Linked DNA regions of Xenopus tropicalis. The protein of the gene in region 1 purifies or fractionates together with the protein of each later gene. This does not show direct contact. Links are inferred from orthologs where the notes say so. Each region holds a gene or a part of one and is shown on either strand. Other genes may lie near its edges.

Region 1 (7,237 bases):
AACATTAATAGCCAAAGGTTACATTTTGCATTGGAGCCAGGGCAGGGACCCCCAGTGTCCCCATACTATGGGCCACTCCCACTGCAGCATCCTCCAGCTCCCTCCCAGCGTCCTCCAGGTCCCACCCAGCTTCCTCCCCAGCATCCTCCAGCTCCCCCCTAGCATCCTCCCCAGCATCCTCCAGCTCCCCCCTAGCATCCTCCCCAGCATCCTCCAGCTCCCCCGCAGCATCCTCCCCAACATCCTCCCCAACATCCTTCAGCTCTCCCCATCGTCCTCCTCAACATCCTCCAGCTCGCCCCAGCGTCTTCCCCAACATCCTTCAGCTCCCCCATCATCCTCCTCTACATCCTCCAGCTCCCCCCTAGCATCCTTCAGCTCCTCCCAGCATCCTCCCCAACATCCTTCAGCTCCCCCCAGCATCCTCCCCAACATCCTTCAGCTCCCCCCAGCATCCTCCCCAACATCCTTCAGCTCCCCCCAGCATCCTCCCCAACATCCTTCAGCTCCCCCAGGCGTCTTCCCCAACATCTTCCAGCTTCCCCTCCCCAACATCCTCCAGCTTCCCCTCCCCCTCGCCTGCCCGCTTCGTCAGGCTGCGTTCCCCGTCTCTTCTTAGGTCCCACGTTTTGCTGCTGCAGCTACTGTTTTATTAGGTTGCGCCCCGTGTGTACCCTTAACGTCAGCATGCATGGGGCGCAACCTTATAAAAGAATAGTATAAAATTACCCGCTGACCACCAATGAAGTGAAAATTTTTAAAGGGGGCCCGTGCTTAAAAACTGTATCATGGCTGGGGCCCCTTTAAATCCACGATCCTCCGGGCCCGGGACAACTGTCCCCCCTGTGCCCCCCTGATGGCGGCCCTGACAGTACTAAATTTGCTTAAGAAGCAACTAAATGGCACTGCCTATTGTTACACAGTTTGTTATTCACAAAAATTCCCAACATCCTTCTCAGTTAAGGAAACCTCCAACACACTACCATCTAGTGTATAACTTGCATTTGTTATTTCTACCAAAGTGCATAACCTTGTACTTCCCTATGTTGAACCTCATATGCCAGTTTGCTGCCCAGTTCTCCAATTTAGTCAAATCACTCAAAAAAAAAAATCACTCACTGCAAAGTGGCAGCATCCTGCATTGAACATATAGTTTTGTACAATTTAGTTGCATTAGCAAAACAGAGTACCTCCAATGCCCATGTTAAAAAGCAAATGGCTATGGCCCAATTAGAAATTGCTCCATTTACCACCACTCTTTGTAATCTATCCTTCAGCCAGTTCTTGATGTGCATTACATTATGTTCCAGACCAGTACTACTGAATTTAATTAGTGACCTTCTGTGTGGTACTGTTTCAAATGCTTTATCAAAATCTAAGTAGGCCACATCCACTGCCATCCCAGAGTCTAGGTTTCTGCTTACCTCTGGAACAAACACACAGTATTGTGATATTCAAGTATTGTCTCCCTTATTATCCCCTCCAAAAGCTTAAAACCATCAATTGTAAATGTTAATATTGCTCCAGGGCCAGCCTGGGACCAGCCCAGATGGCCCTTTGTTGGTGTTCCCAGGGCCCTTATTGTTCTGTATGTTCCTGAGCAAAGATTGGGCTTCTTATTTCCAATACATTTGTCAGCTCAACTTCCTCCAATCCTCTGTAACTAAAGATAATTCTGACATCTAAAGAGATACTGACATTAGAAATTGAATCCTTTTTACATAGCATAACATTTTCTTTGCATGCTTTTTAAAGTATTGACTTAAAAGTATTGGCAAAACAGTCAGGTTTAGGAACTTCAAGTAAAAATTACTTACAAAAGCAGAGCTATCAGAGCAAAACAATCAACATGACCTATAGATAACTTTTAATGTACATAAATAATCTGGAGTAGTTTTTTAGTGTCAGTATCACTTTAACTTGATCAATGCCATTGGCACCAAAGCAAAGATCCCAATTTTTTGCTGCCACCTGCTCACTACAGCTACATCCACCACAATGCAATAAGGTTCTAGTATTTTGTCCTCTATACAACGCAGCACAAAATTCAAAAAGTGTTTTCTGTTCACCTGAATATAGTACAGAGCACCACAGCCTAAGTGTACCAACACTGCTAGAAGCCTGCTATTATTCACTCTCTGAGCAGCTGGTCGATTCATTTCCTAGAGAGTGTTGGGCTGGGCATTATGCAAGTTTGTAATAAGCTGAAGTTCTTATTTATGGTGATCCTCCAGCCTATCATAACATTTATCCTTCCTCAGTCCAGAGTGCTTAAAGGGGACCTGTCACCCTAAGAAATAACTCCAAATTATTTTCTATATTGTTAGTTGAGCAAAATGAACTTTACTTACTCTATATAAATAATATCAATCTTGTTTCTTTCCGTCTTGGAATTACTCAATCAAAGCAAGCAGGCAGGCACCATTTTGTGGACACTGTTATTAAGGCAAGCTTGGTATCATGCCAAAATCTTGTTTATATGCCAGAATGGGGGACCTGATGCCCAGGCCCTTGCACTGGCTACACAATTAGATGATGAGGAGGGAGGGGAAAAGTGAGATGTGCAGTGACATCTAGGTAGTGCTGAACGAAAAGCTAAAGTTATTGTCTGCCCCGCCTCTATGCCTAAGGCATAAAGGCGGGGCAAGCAATATATGATTGACATCTGGGATTTTTAAATGCCTCTATAATGGGTTTGGATGTGTTAATATAAAAATGAATTTGGGTTTCATGTTTAATTTGAAAAGGACTTTTATTATACAGCTTTTTATGTCTGGGTGACAGGTCCACTTTAAGAAAATGCAGGAACCAAAAGGGAACCACATCAAAAGATGTGTGTGTTATCAGTTGAGGATATGTCAGTAAACACAATGCAACAGGGTTCCTTTGATGATGGTTATAAATTCCTTAAATAATATCCAAGTTGCACAAGCTCTCCAGCATCAATGATTCTGCCTTCCTTTATGATAAAACAGTCTTTTTCTCTACATAAATACATGGGCATGAAAGTCAGTTTGTCACTTCATCTAAGCTTGTGATCGCTATAGAGGTTGTGCTGAATGGAGCTAACCATATTTATTTAAACCTGCAGAATATTCCATATGCATTTTACATAGCTTCCTATGGTATAAATCAGATAGCTGGATTGTCACTCTTAGATGGTGGGACAGAAGCTAACAGATGCCAGAGAAGATTCTGTGATGTCATTTTATTACAGGTCTCTGCTTGCAGCATAAAGAATATTCTGAAGCTGCATTCTCAGCCTGTCTGCCCTAATTGCTTACTAAGTTTAAATCTCTTCATACAAGGCTAAATATGAGTGTTTGGCCAGGGTGTCAGGTATAACCTCCTTAAAGGCCAGTTTACCCAAAATGTGCTAGACTACAAAGCAAAAAAACATTTTACAAATGGTTTAAGTATAGTGGGAGCTGTAGTCCAGCAACTTCAGGGTGTGTATGCTAGTTCACAATAAAAATCTACCCAGCTTTCTAGGACCAGTGACCCAAATTAATATGCAAAGTAATCCTCCAATAAGAATCCCTTTGATTAGTCTCCATGTTGTTTGTTTTGTCACTGTAATTGGAAGCTTTAAACAAACCTTTTCTATGGCAGAACTACACAGAAGAGCATCCTCCCTTGTGATGCTACAGTGTGATAACATAACAAAATGACATAATGCTGACAAACAGCAATCTCATTGGTAAATTCTCTTGCATCAGTAATTAGTCATGTACTTAAGAGAAGTAAGGGACACAGTGAGAAAGTTTACAACCTCTTTAAGCTCCTTTCTATTTAACCTGCACATTTCTGATCTCCTACACTCAGAATCATCCTCTCACCATTTATGCGCAGTCTCGGCCACAAACCTGTCTGTAGCTCGCAGGCCACAAATTAAATCATCTTCCTTACAAGAGCTTGAAAATACCCTCACTGGTGTATAAAAAAGGAGTTTGCTGCACCTGCACAAGCAAGTACTGTACTACAACTCCCACAGTGCCCAAACTGCTGCTATATTTGAACTACACAATTTCCCACAACCTTGTGACAGATTACTGTAGTACAAAAAGGGCTGAAAAGAGGGGGCAACTGAGGACTAGAAACATATTATTATTGCCAAAAGGAAACACAGGGGGTCTTATAACCAAAAAGGATGCTTGGCTTCCACACTGATGGTACAATGTACAACCTTAACAGCACAAAGACACACTTTCACAAAAAGAAGCACAATGTTTCTCTAATCATCATAACGACACAAGTTTACAGGGTAATTGGCCCATCTCCAGCAGTCTGCCCCAGTTCAGCACACACCTTATTTTCCCAATCAGGTTCAGCTGCGAACAACTCCTGGCCAACAAAATGAACTGAAAATTCTATTCATACAAAGCAGCTATATAAAGCCCGGACGGGCTGATTGTTTCTGCTTCAATTTGTAGTAATGGACTTTCTATACGATTATGCAGCACATTATTGCTACGGCATCACTTATTCATTCAGGGGTGTAACTATAGAGAAAGCAAATGCTGTGACTGTTGGGGAACCCAGGAAATATGGGCGCCCAGAGGGGCATAGATTGATAAACTCAGTCTCAGTATATTTTTATAAAAAATACATTATTGCCAAAGTGGCAAATGACTTTGTTATGGGGCGCAGAAACTTCAAGTCTCCCCACTGACCTGTCTGTTAAACTTTCTGTCACTCTGAAAGTCATGTGTTTGATTATCCTTTATATCAGCCAGTCTCGGTTATCATGTTATATACTGTCAACCTGCCCTGTGCAAATTGTCCATCAGATAACCAGTTCTTAACAGTGTCTAAGGAGCTGGCCCCACAGGAAAATGCACCTAAAGCAACAATGCATGCACTTACCTTTAACCAACTGCTGGGTATAGGTGAACTCTTGCTTTGTAGCTCCTTAATTCTGTATTACAGAGCTGGGAAACTTTTCAAGCTGATTGCCTTCAAGCCTCAAGCCATGCCCATGCTGTGGCACTCACACAGCCTACTTCCTCTTCACTCACAGCGAGCAATAGACAGGCGGCTGCTGCTGCTGTTGTGCTGCTCAGTGGGAGGTGAAGTGTCAGAAGAGGAAGCAGGGTGAGCACATGCACCATGTGAGTAAGCAGGAGGTGTTTCCATCTAAATGAGAAGCAGATAATACTTAGAATTTCTTTATTGGAAAAGAAATGATTCAGAAAGAAACCTCCAGGAAAACATATAACTACTCTGTAAGTTTTATCCACACAGACCTGGCCCTTAAACATCCCTCATCTGCCAGATTAGTCCAGTCCATACTTTTATACCATACCCTGTAGCTTTTCTTTTTAAAGGTTTTAGTATAAAATAGCCAAATAAACATACATGTATTTGATTTTTTTTACATTAATGGTGTGGGGGATTCACAAAGACAGGCACCTAGTGTACACTGGTTCTGTAATATATTTCAACCAAAGGCACATTAGGCACAATCAGTTAAAGCATTACATGCAGGATTATGGAATGTCCCTTTTACACTATATATTTTTTCTTTAGAGAAATTTTGATATATTTGTGCCCATATGCACCCCCAAGGGTGGCCCGTGTGCATGCCTGTCCCCTGACCATAGGTACGTCTGCGCTAGGTAAGGTACGGATCTATTCTTCGCAGAACTGCCTTCAGGTTAGCTTTTCTAATGTGTGACCTGTGCTGCTGCTGCGTGAGGTACCACAAACAAGGGGTGTGCATGGCAGTTTTTCTTTTTCTGTACAGACATGTCAACTCACACAAGTTTTCAGGTTTCACCCTATTTTTGTTTCTCTCATCTGGTCACCAAAAGTAGCAACCCTAGCCAGATTCTACTGCCTGTACACTGAACAGCAATATTATACCTTATAAATGATATATGGTGGTTTATAAATTGTTCATATGATGTGTATGTCATATAATGTGTTTCTACAGGGTGCCATTTACCCCAGATGGCCCTCCTTCATACTATAAGTACTGACATGCTCAACAGGAGCTGTTTCCTTCCTGGGGTATTTATGAGATTATTCACTTCACACCTTAGTAACTATCTGACTGAACCCTGACTAAAAAATTTACACCTTCTCTGTTAAAGTCTTATATGGTTATGTAATATATGTAATAATGTAATAATAATAAAATGTGCAATGTTTGCCTCAGGTCTAGTCACCTATAGCAACCAGTCAGCGGGTGGCATTTACTGGTCACCTGTTTTAAGAAAACATCTTTGTTTTATGCATGTATATATAAAACATTTTATACCTGATTGTAAAATGAAGGGACTATCAGTTTATATGTATGTGTATGACATAGCTACATAGTAGTTGTAGTAGAAAACAAAACTAGACTGGCTCTCAAGCTCAACCTTGCAAAATGTGTTGTAGTCATTATTGATTAAGGCGCTCTTGAGATCTACAATTTTCTCCTTACACAGCCTTACATATCAGCACCCCTCAGTGAATGGGGCTTTTCCCAAAAAGAAAATAACATGTGAACTAATACATTTCTTCCACCCCCATCCATTTTAACTTTGGTTTTAATAAGAAATATGCGAGTTTCCACTTTTCTGTATGGAAAGCCCTGAGTGTTTTCTTGTCATTTCACTATAGCTATATTAAGTTATGTGACGCCTGCAACCTGAAGTGATTCATTTATCGTATGTTACTCCCCCCTCCCACTAGCTGCTCTTCTTAAAGTACAATGGTCTGTGGTGATTGTACCACCTCCTGGGTGGAATCTCCCTTTCAGTTCATGGGAGGATGCAGTAAGGTTGCATGTGATGTGAAAATAAAGTAATTTACTAGAAAAAAAAATACAATTCCTTGTTCAAGGAAATGACCCTGAATTTAATGATCTGAGAGACCTTGAGAGTTCTTGTATCAACACTGGGCATTTTTACACGTGGACAGTAACTGATGGCAGTCAATAACGTTTAGCTTTCATTGCTCTTCCTGCTATTGGCTGAAAAAGTTACTGTAATTACTAATTGGTTGTTATGGATCACTGAGCAGTTGCAAGTTTTCCCAGTGTTAGTAAATGAGCTTGCAGGGCAGAAAATGCCAAGACTTATACTTGTACTTGATTGTCAAGAGGTAACTTGGAGTTGAACCACTTTATTCCTGTCAGTGATCAGCACTGTTTAACAATAACAAGTTCTTCTTTTGTTTAAAAAACAGTTTGGGGAATTTGGGGAGATTTGATGCCAGTGAGAATTATGTGGTAACTGCGAGCAACAAT
Region 2 (6,489 bases), on another chromosome or scaffold:
GAGCATTTTTACTCAGCCCAGAATTACAGCTCCAAAGGGCCCAAACAATCCCCATTAGACTTACATTGAAATCACCAGATAAGTGATGGAACAAAGGTTTGTCGGCAGATATTCTTACTCAAAAAGCGATAGCTGCCCTTTGTGCCAATATGAAACACTAAAGGCAAAATGTGTTGATTAAATTCTTTAATAACAAGAAAAATATAAATAAATCCTGGGGGAAAAAAAATGAAAGGGTCAGTGACAGAAATAAAAGGAGATTAAGATTCCCAATAAAACTAAATGTAATTTTGTGTGAGATAATGAGGAGTTATTTAGCCGTTAATTGCACACCACTCCAGCCATGATGGGTACAGAAAAACTGGGAATGACAGGAGCTGTAGTATAAACTAGGGAGGCACCAAATCCACTATTTTGGGATTCAGCTGAACCCCAAATCCTTTGTAAAAGTTTTGGCCGAATACTGAACTGGGAAGTCATGTGATTTTAAAGATTTGGATTCAGTTTGGCCAGGAACATGGATTTGGCCAAATGCGAATCCTGCTGAAAAGGCAGAATGTTGGCCGAATCCTGGATTCAGTGCATCCCTAGTATAAACCAGCTGAATAATACCATTATCACAAGCCAGGGGTTTTCAGGAAAGTTACAATCAATGGGGGGTGCCAGATGTTACGCACCCCCCAGTGACTATAGTCACTTACCTGATACCCCAAGCAGTGTTCCTGCTGACCAAAACTGCAGCAGCCCAGGGTTCATGCCAAAGAATTTTGCTCTTCCTTTCATCGTCTATCTTTGGAGTCCGGGGCCTGGAGAGTGCGCAGTAGAGTAAAAGAGACCACTTTCTTGTTGAAGTTTAGCTTTTCACTCTACTGCGCTAAGGCAAAAGAAGGAAAAGGATCACCCCAGAGGGGTGTGGTTTTTCGGATAACAGAAGCACAGGGGTATCAGGTAAGTGATTACAATCACTGGGGGTGCTTGACCTTTTGGCACACCCAAGCGATCGAGACATTTCTTCGCCTTTAAACATGAAAAGCTGCAAAACAGCTGTAACCAGGCAACCGATAGCTGTCACTGCACGGGTAGGAGTTTTAGTGGCTACAAAGCCTCAGGTTAGAGGGTCCAGGGCATGGAACAAAAAAAAAAAAGGAATAGTGTGACATCCACAGTGTAACTGTGTCACTGCAGGTCTGCTTACAGAACGTACTCAGGCCATGTTTGTAAGTGGTGCTGCCACTCAGTGGTACGTCTCTGTAGTGCACCCCAATTTATATCTGCAAATAATAACCTGGGCTTATCTTAGAAATTCAACTCCCAATCCATGAAAAATATCTGTAAGGCAGTAAGCTGGCAGTCCAGCAGTTTCACTACTCTAACCCAGAGTCATCTGCTATAAAGGGCAGTTCACCTTCAAGTTCACATTTAGTATGTTATAGAATCTCCAATCCTTAGCAACCTTTCAATCGGTCTCCATTTTATTATTTTATAGTTCAGCTTTTCATCCAGACCACTGCTTGGTTGCTAGGGTAAATTGGGCCCTTAGCAACCAGATAGCTGCTGAAATGCTAAACTGGAAAGCTGCTAAACAAAAAGCTAAGTAATTAAAAAATAAAAATGAAGACCAATTGCAAATTGCCTCAGATTATCACTGTCTACATCATATTAAAAGTTAATTTGAAGATGAACAACCAAGATAAATATGGCACCCACATTCACTTCTTCTCTGAATACATACAGATTTACCCAAGTTATTTAGGAAAGATTCCAATGTACGGAAAAAGAATTTACCGAGCCTCAAATGACTACTACGAGCAAGTAATAATAACAACATATTAAGACTCTAGAACCCAACTGATAATAAGAGAATGCATATTATAGCTAGTTAGATACAATCTACCCTTATATACAAAAGAGACATGTCCCCTACAGTGGCATTATAGATAAACTGTTAATTCAGATTTCCCAGAAATTTCTGCAAACAAATTCAAACAGAAGCAACTCTAAGTAGCCGAGAGGGGTTGATCAACAATGTGTACACCAGTGAATGAGCAGGATTCCCATATCAGATTATACACTGGGTGGCAGCAATGTATCATTTGGGGCTTAAACTAATGAATAAAGGCAAGAATGCAAAACATGCATGGGTTTAAAAAAAAATAATTGGTGAAAGTGTAGAAGTGGTAGATATTACACTTTTATCTAGTCCATAACGGTAATGGTGTACAATGGTAATGGTGTACAATGAGTACAAGAACTTAACCAAAAACATATCACCGGAAACAAAGTGGGAAATGGGCTGCAAGTAGGAATGAAATAATATACCTAGATATTTTTATTTGCCATATTGAGAATCAAACCTTTATGTGTAGGAAGAAAATATACACTCATTTGGTATGCAGACCCCACTGGATCTAGGTGTGACCTGAAACAGGCCAACACATAAGGAGAAAATGAATGTAGCCAATCAGAGGCATCCAAAGTATAACAACACAAGTCTGATTGGCCTCTCTCCATTGGCTTGAGGAGAGCTCATCAGGCAGGAGTAAGTGAAAGGTAATCATGAGTCCTCATTGGCAGAGCAGCCTGGTTGGCGAGTGACAATCTTTATGTGGGGATGACTCCAGTGGCGAGGAGGATGATGAGGAGTACAATAATTCCAACCACCACGCAGATTATGGCAATCATCTTTGCGTTTTTCCACCAGTACTTGCGGGCAACCTTCTGGGAAGTGGTCTTGAAGTGTTCAGACTGGGTGAAAGGAACAGACAAAACAAGGTGAGGCAGTGATAGAGCGAGTACAGAGAAGGATGATGGGCAGAATAACAGTGTAGGTAGTGGAGAACTAAGATGGGGCTGGAGAGGGATTTAGATGGGATGCCTATGGCTATGGGCACTTACGCTAGCTTCCAGGTCTTCTGTTTTGTTCCTTAGATGATCCAGATTCTCTCCCCGTGCCAGAATTCGCTCCACATTTTGGGACATGATTCCCTTTACGTCGTCCACCTGACTCTGGAGATCCCTCACGCGTTCAGGGGCCGCTGGGGCATTTGCCCCTCCCATATCCTGCCAAAGTAATCAATAATGAAATAGGGGCAGAAATCTGCAAAGACCCAGGATACAGAATCACACATGCTGCCACTCTTTTACAGTTAATAGGCAAAAAATAATCAGTAGAATTTGTTTTCCCTATAATGCTGTAAGAGCTGTGGCACATGTATGGTTAAGGTCAGCCATACAATTCCACAGAAATGGGATACCCTGCAAGAAGCTGGCCAGACATAAGATCCGCTTGTTTCTTTCCCCGATATGCCCACCTGTGTTTCTTTTGATAGAGGACTCAGAGCAGCATTACTATAAGTGATATGGCTGTATTTACGTAGACCTTTCTGATAAAGGTTTCTTTAAAAATCCTGATTAAGTTTTTACCTTTCTTTCTCCTTTAGGGCTCTGGCACACGGGGAGATTAGTCGCCCGCGACAAAACTCCCTGTTCGCGGGCGACTAATCTCCCCGGATTGCCATCCCACCGGCAAAAATGTAAATCGCCAGTGGGATGGCAAACGCAGCGGCACGATTTCAGTGAAATCGCGCAAGTTGCCTCGAGAGGAAACTTGCGCGATTAAATCGCGCCGCCGCGTATGCCATCCCAGCGGCGATTTACATTTTCGCCGGTGGGATGGCATTTCGGGGAGATTAGTCACCCGAGACACAGGAGATTTGTCGTGGGCGACTAATCTCCCCGTGTGCCAGAGCCCTTAACATTAAACTAAGCTTTATATTCTGCAGCCTCTCCACTTTAGCATTTTAGCCGCTACCTGCTTGCTAGGGCCTAATTTACCCTAGCAACCAGACAGTGGCTTGAATAAAAGAGCGTAAAATAAATTGGAGAGGGCCAGAACAGAATGATAAGTTATAAAGTAACAATAACAATTGTATAACAATACTAGTTTAACCTCACAGAGCAATAGTTTTTTTGGCGCCGGGTTCTGTGACCGGTAGATTGGATTTTTAACTGTAGCTGAACAGAAAGAAGTAAAGAAGCTAAGACATTTGGATGACCGTGGATGGGATTTTCTTTTTTGTTAAAGTATGTGCACATAATGTCAATGCTGAGAAGGGGAACTCTGAATTACATCAAGCACTATGGCGAAAATGTTTCATCCTGGAAGTGACACCAATACACATGCTTACAGACTGGCCTAAAGCCTGCTTAACGCTCACTCAGCATACACACTATCTCCACTGACTCCACTGATTCTAACACACGTATGTGCAGTAAGCATTTGCTTAAAACGGGACAGGAGCCCGGGGGCCATTTCTGGCACAAAACAAGAATAGGAAGCCAGCTTCACTTTGGCACTTCCTGAGGCTTTCTGATCCCAATGAACTTCAAAAGGAGTTGATAAAACTAATTACCAGCCCACTGAAAAGCCCTGCATAATAAGCTGTTTTAAAGGCTGCTGCTTAGAGAAGGGAAGGATTTGTTTGCTCAAAAGTAGTTAGGAAGATCTAAACAAACTGCCCTGTTTATAAAGCAAGTGAGGGTAAGTTCAATGAAAATTTGTTTTTATATTGGCAAAAAATACAGATTTTTTAAATTAAAAAACACGCAGAATTTTTTTTAAACACAACTTGGTTTTTGGTGTATACGCTCCCCAGTCCCAATAAACTTAAAGGACCATTGTTTTTTTTTCAATCCAAATTAAATATGTAAGTATAAATAAAACTTTAAGGTGAATCAGCCCTTTAAATTGGCTTGGTGTGCTGTAACAACTCCCTGCCAAGAGCTCCGAGCATCCAACCCCACAAACCGCTGTGACTTCCTGATCACTGCATGGCCGGTATTTCCCATGAGATATATCCTCAAACCTTCGCCACACATACCAAACCTTCCATAGCTCAGATGCTAATGCATTGCTAATGCCAATGCTATTTACTGTGACCTCATCAAAACAGAACGCCTTTATTTCTTTGTCCTTTATCCACCACGGCAGACTTTGTTGCTCCAACATATCATTATAGTTTGCAACTAAACAATTCTAGCGCTGCCATTTAGGCTGGTGGCACATGAAAAATTCTCTACCAGGTAAGAAGAAGATTCTGCCACCTCCAATTCACTTCTTTGAGAAATGCATGACAACATTAGTACACAGAATTTTTGGGCCCAAAGACGCACAGAAGCGCTAGCACCACAGACGTCATACACTCTATAACAACAGGGATCCCCAACCTTTTTTACCCCTGAGCCACATTCAAATGTAAAAAGATTTGGGGAGCAACACAAGAATGGAAAATGTACCCGGTAGTGCCAAATAAGGACTGTGATTGGTTATTTGGTAGCCCCTATGTGGACTGTCAGCCTACAGGAGGCTCTGTTTGGCAGTACACCTGTTCTTTACCCAACCAAAACTTGCCCCAAGCCAGAAATTTAAAAATAAGCCCCTGATTTAGGGTTACTGGGAGCAAGATGTTTCTCCTGAGCCACTGGTTGGGGATCACTGCTCCATAGCAAAGCTATGCTGGGAAGAATAAGACACATGCCATTAGCCTAAATGGCCTATGCCTCAGGCACAACACAATTACAGACTAGCTGAGTTAATCAGTTATTTCCAATTGAAATGGTTACTTATTACTAAATAAAGTGTATAAGATGCCAAAGGTACAATCATGTATATCTGTAAAGTGGAACAATATCCTATATCAGTAACATTATCTAAATAAGTTCATTGCATTTAGGAATATGAACCTGTCCTGCCTAGGTCTCTATGTTTGACAAGGTCACCAACAAACAGCGCATCTTTGCTGGATCAGGCCACATAGTATTAAACCAAATCAGGTTGATGCAATCTTTTAGCTCCTGGACAATCAGATCCCATGGAGGACATAGGAACCAATCCAGGCACAATGCAGTACTCATAGGAATTTCCATACAGATATTGACTTGGGTTGTCTTTATTTTGTCTCTATACATACTGTTTTTTAATTATTTGTCTTCCTCTTCTACCTCTTTTCCACTGACACCAGCTGTCAAAAAACTATTGCTCTGTGAGGCTACAATTATTTTGTTATTTTTTATTATCAGGTTAAAGGGGCCCTGTCACCCTAAGAAATAATTCCAAATCTTTTCCTTCCAAAATCTTATGCATTTGCCATCTTGGTGTTGTATAGGAAGTGCTGAATGGAAAGCTAAAGTAATTGTTATTAACAATATTGCCTGCCCCGCCTCTATGCCACAAAAAAGAATTTGTGTTTCATGTTTAGTCTTCAGAGGACTTTTATTATACAACTTTGTGTGGTTGACAGGTCCCCTGTCTAATGTGTCTTTCTGTGTTTCCATATGGAATCAGCTCAAGCAATGTAATATTATCAGATATATATCACACATAAAAGTTTTGCAAGAAGAGGAAGAGAGGGGTATTCTTGCAGTGCAAAACTGAGGAAGGACAGACAAAGGTGTCAGGAGTTTAGTTAATGTTCTGCCATGATGTGACAA

Evidence for each region. The genes of interacting proteins can lie anywhere in the genome.
Region 2: the proteins of stx11 (region 1) and vamp8 purify together in Homo sapiens (co-immunoprecipitation; 3 studies listed by BioGRID and IntAct, counting the BioPlex papers as one, with this or other methods). This does not show direct contact. The link is inferred for Xenopus tropicalis from reciprocal best matches to the Homo sapiens genes STX11 and VAMP8.

Annotation. Positions count from the first base shown.
Region 1 is NC_030681.2:45,304,264-45,311,500, reverse strand, and holds the start of stx11 (syntaxin-11), read right to left. Parts: upstream 4,364-7,237; 5' UTR 4,309-4,363; intron 4,168-4,308; exon of another isoform or gene 4,143-4,167; intron 3,865-4,142; exon of another isoform or gene 3,840-3,864; intron 1-3,839. UniProt on the Homo sapiens protein: SNARE that acts to regulate protein transport between late endosomes and the trans-Golgi network.
Region 2 is NC_030679.2:125,657,352-125,663,840, reverse strand, and holds the end of vamp8 (vesicle-associated membrane protein 8), read right to left. Parts: intron 3,061-6,489; coding exon 2,896-3,060; intron 2,746-2,895; coding exon 2,602-2,745; 3' UTR 2,183-2,601; downstream 1-2,182. UniProt on the Homo sapiens protein: SNAREs, soluble N-ethylmaleimide-sensitive factor-attachment protein receptors, are essential proteins for fusion of cellular membranes.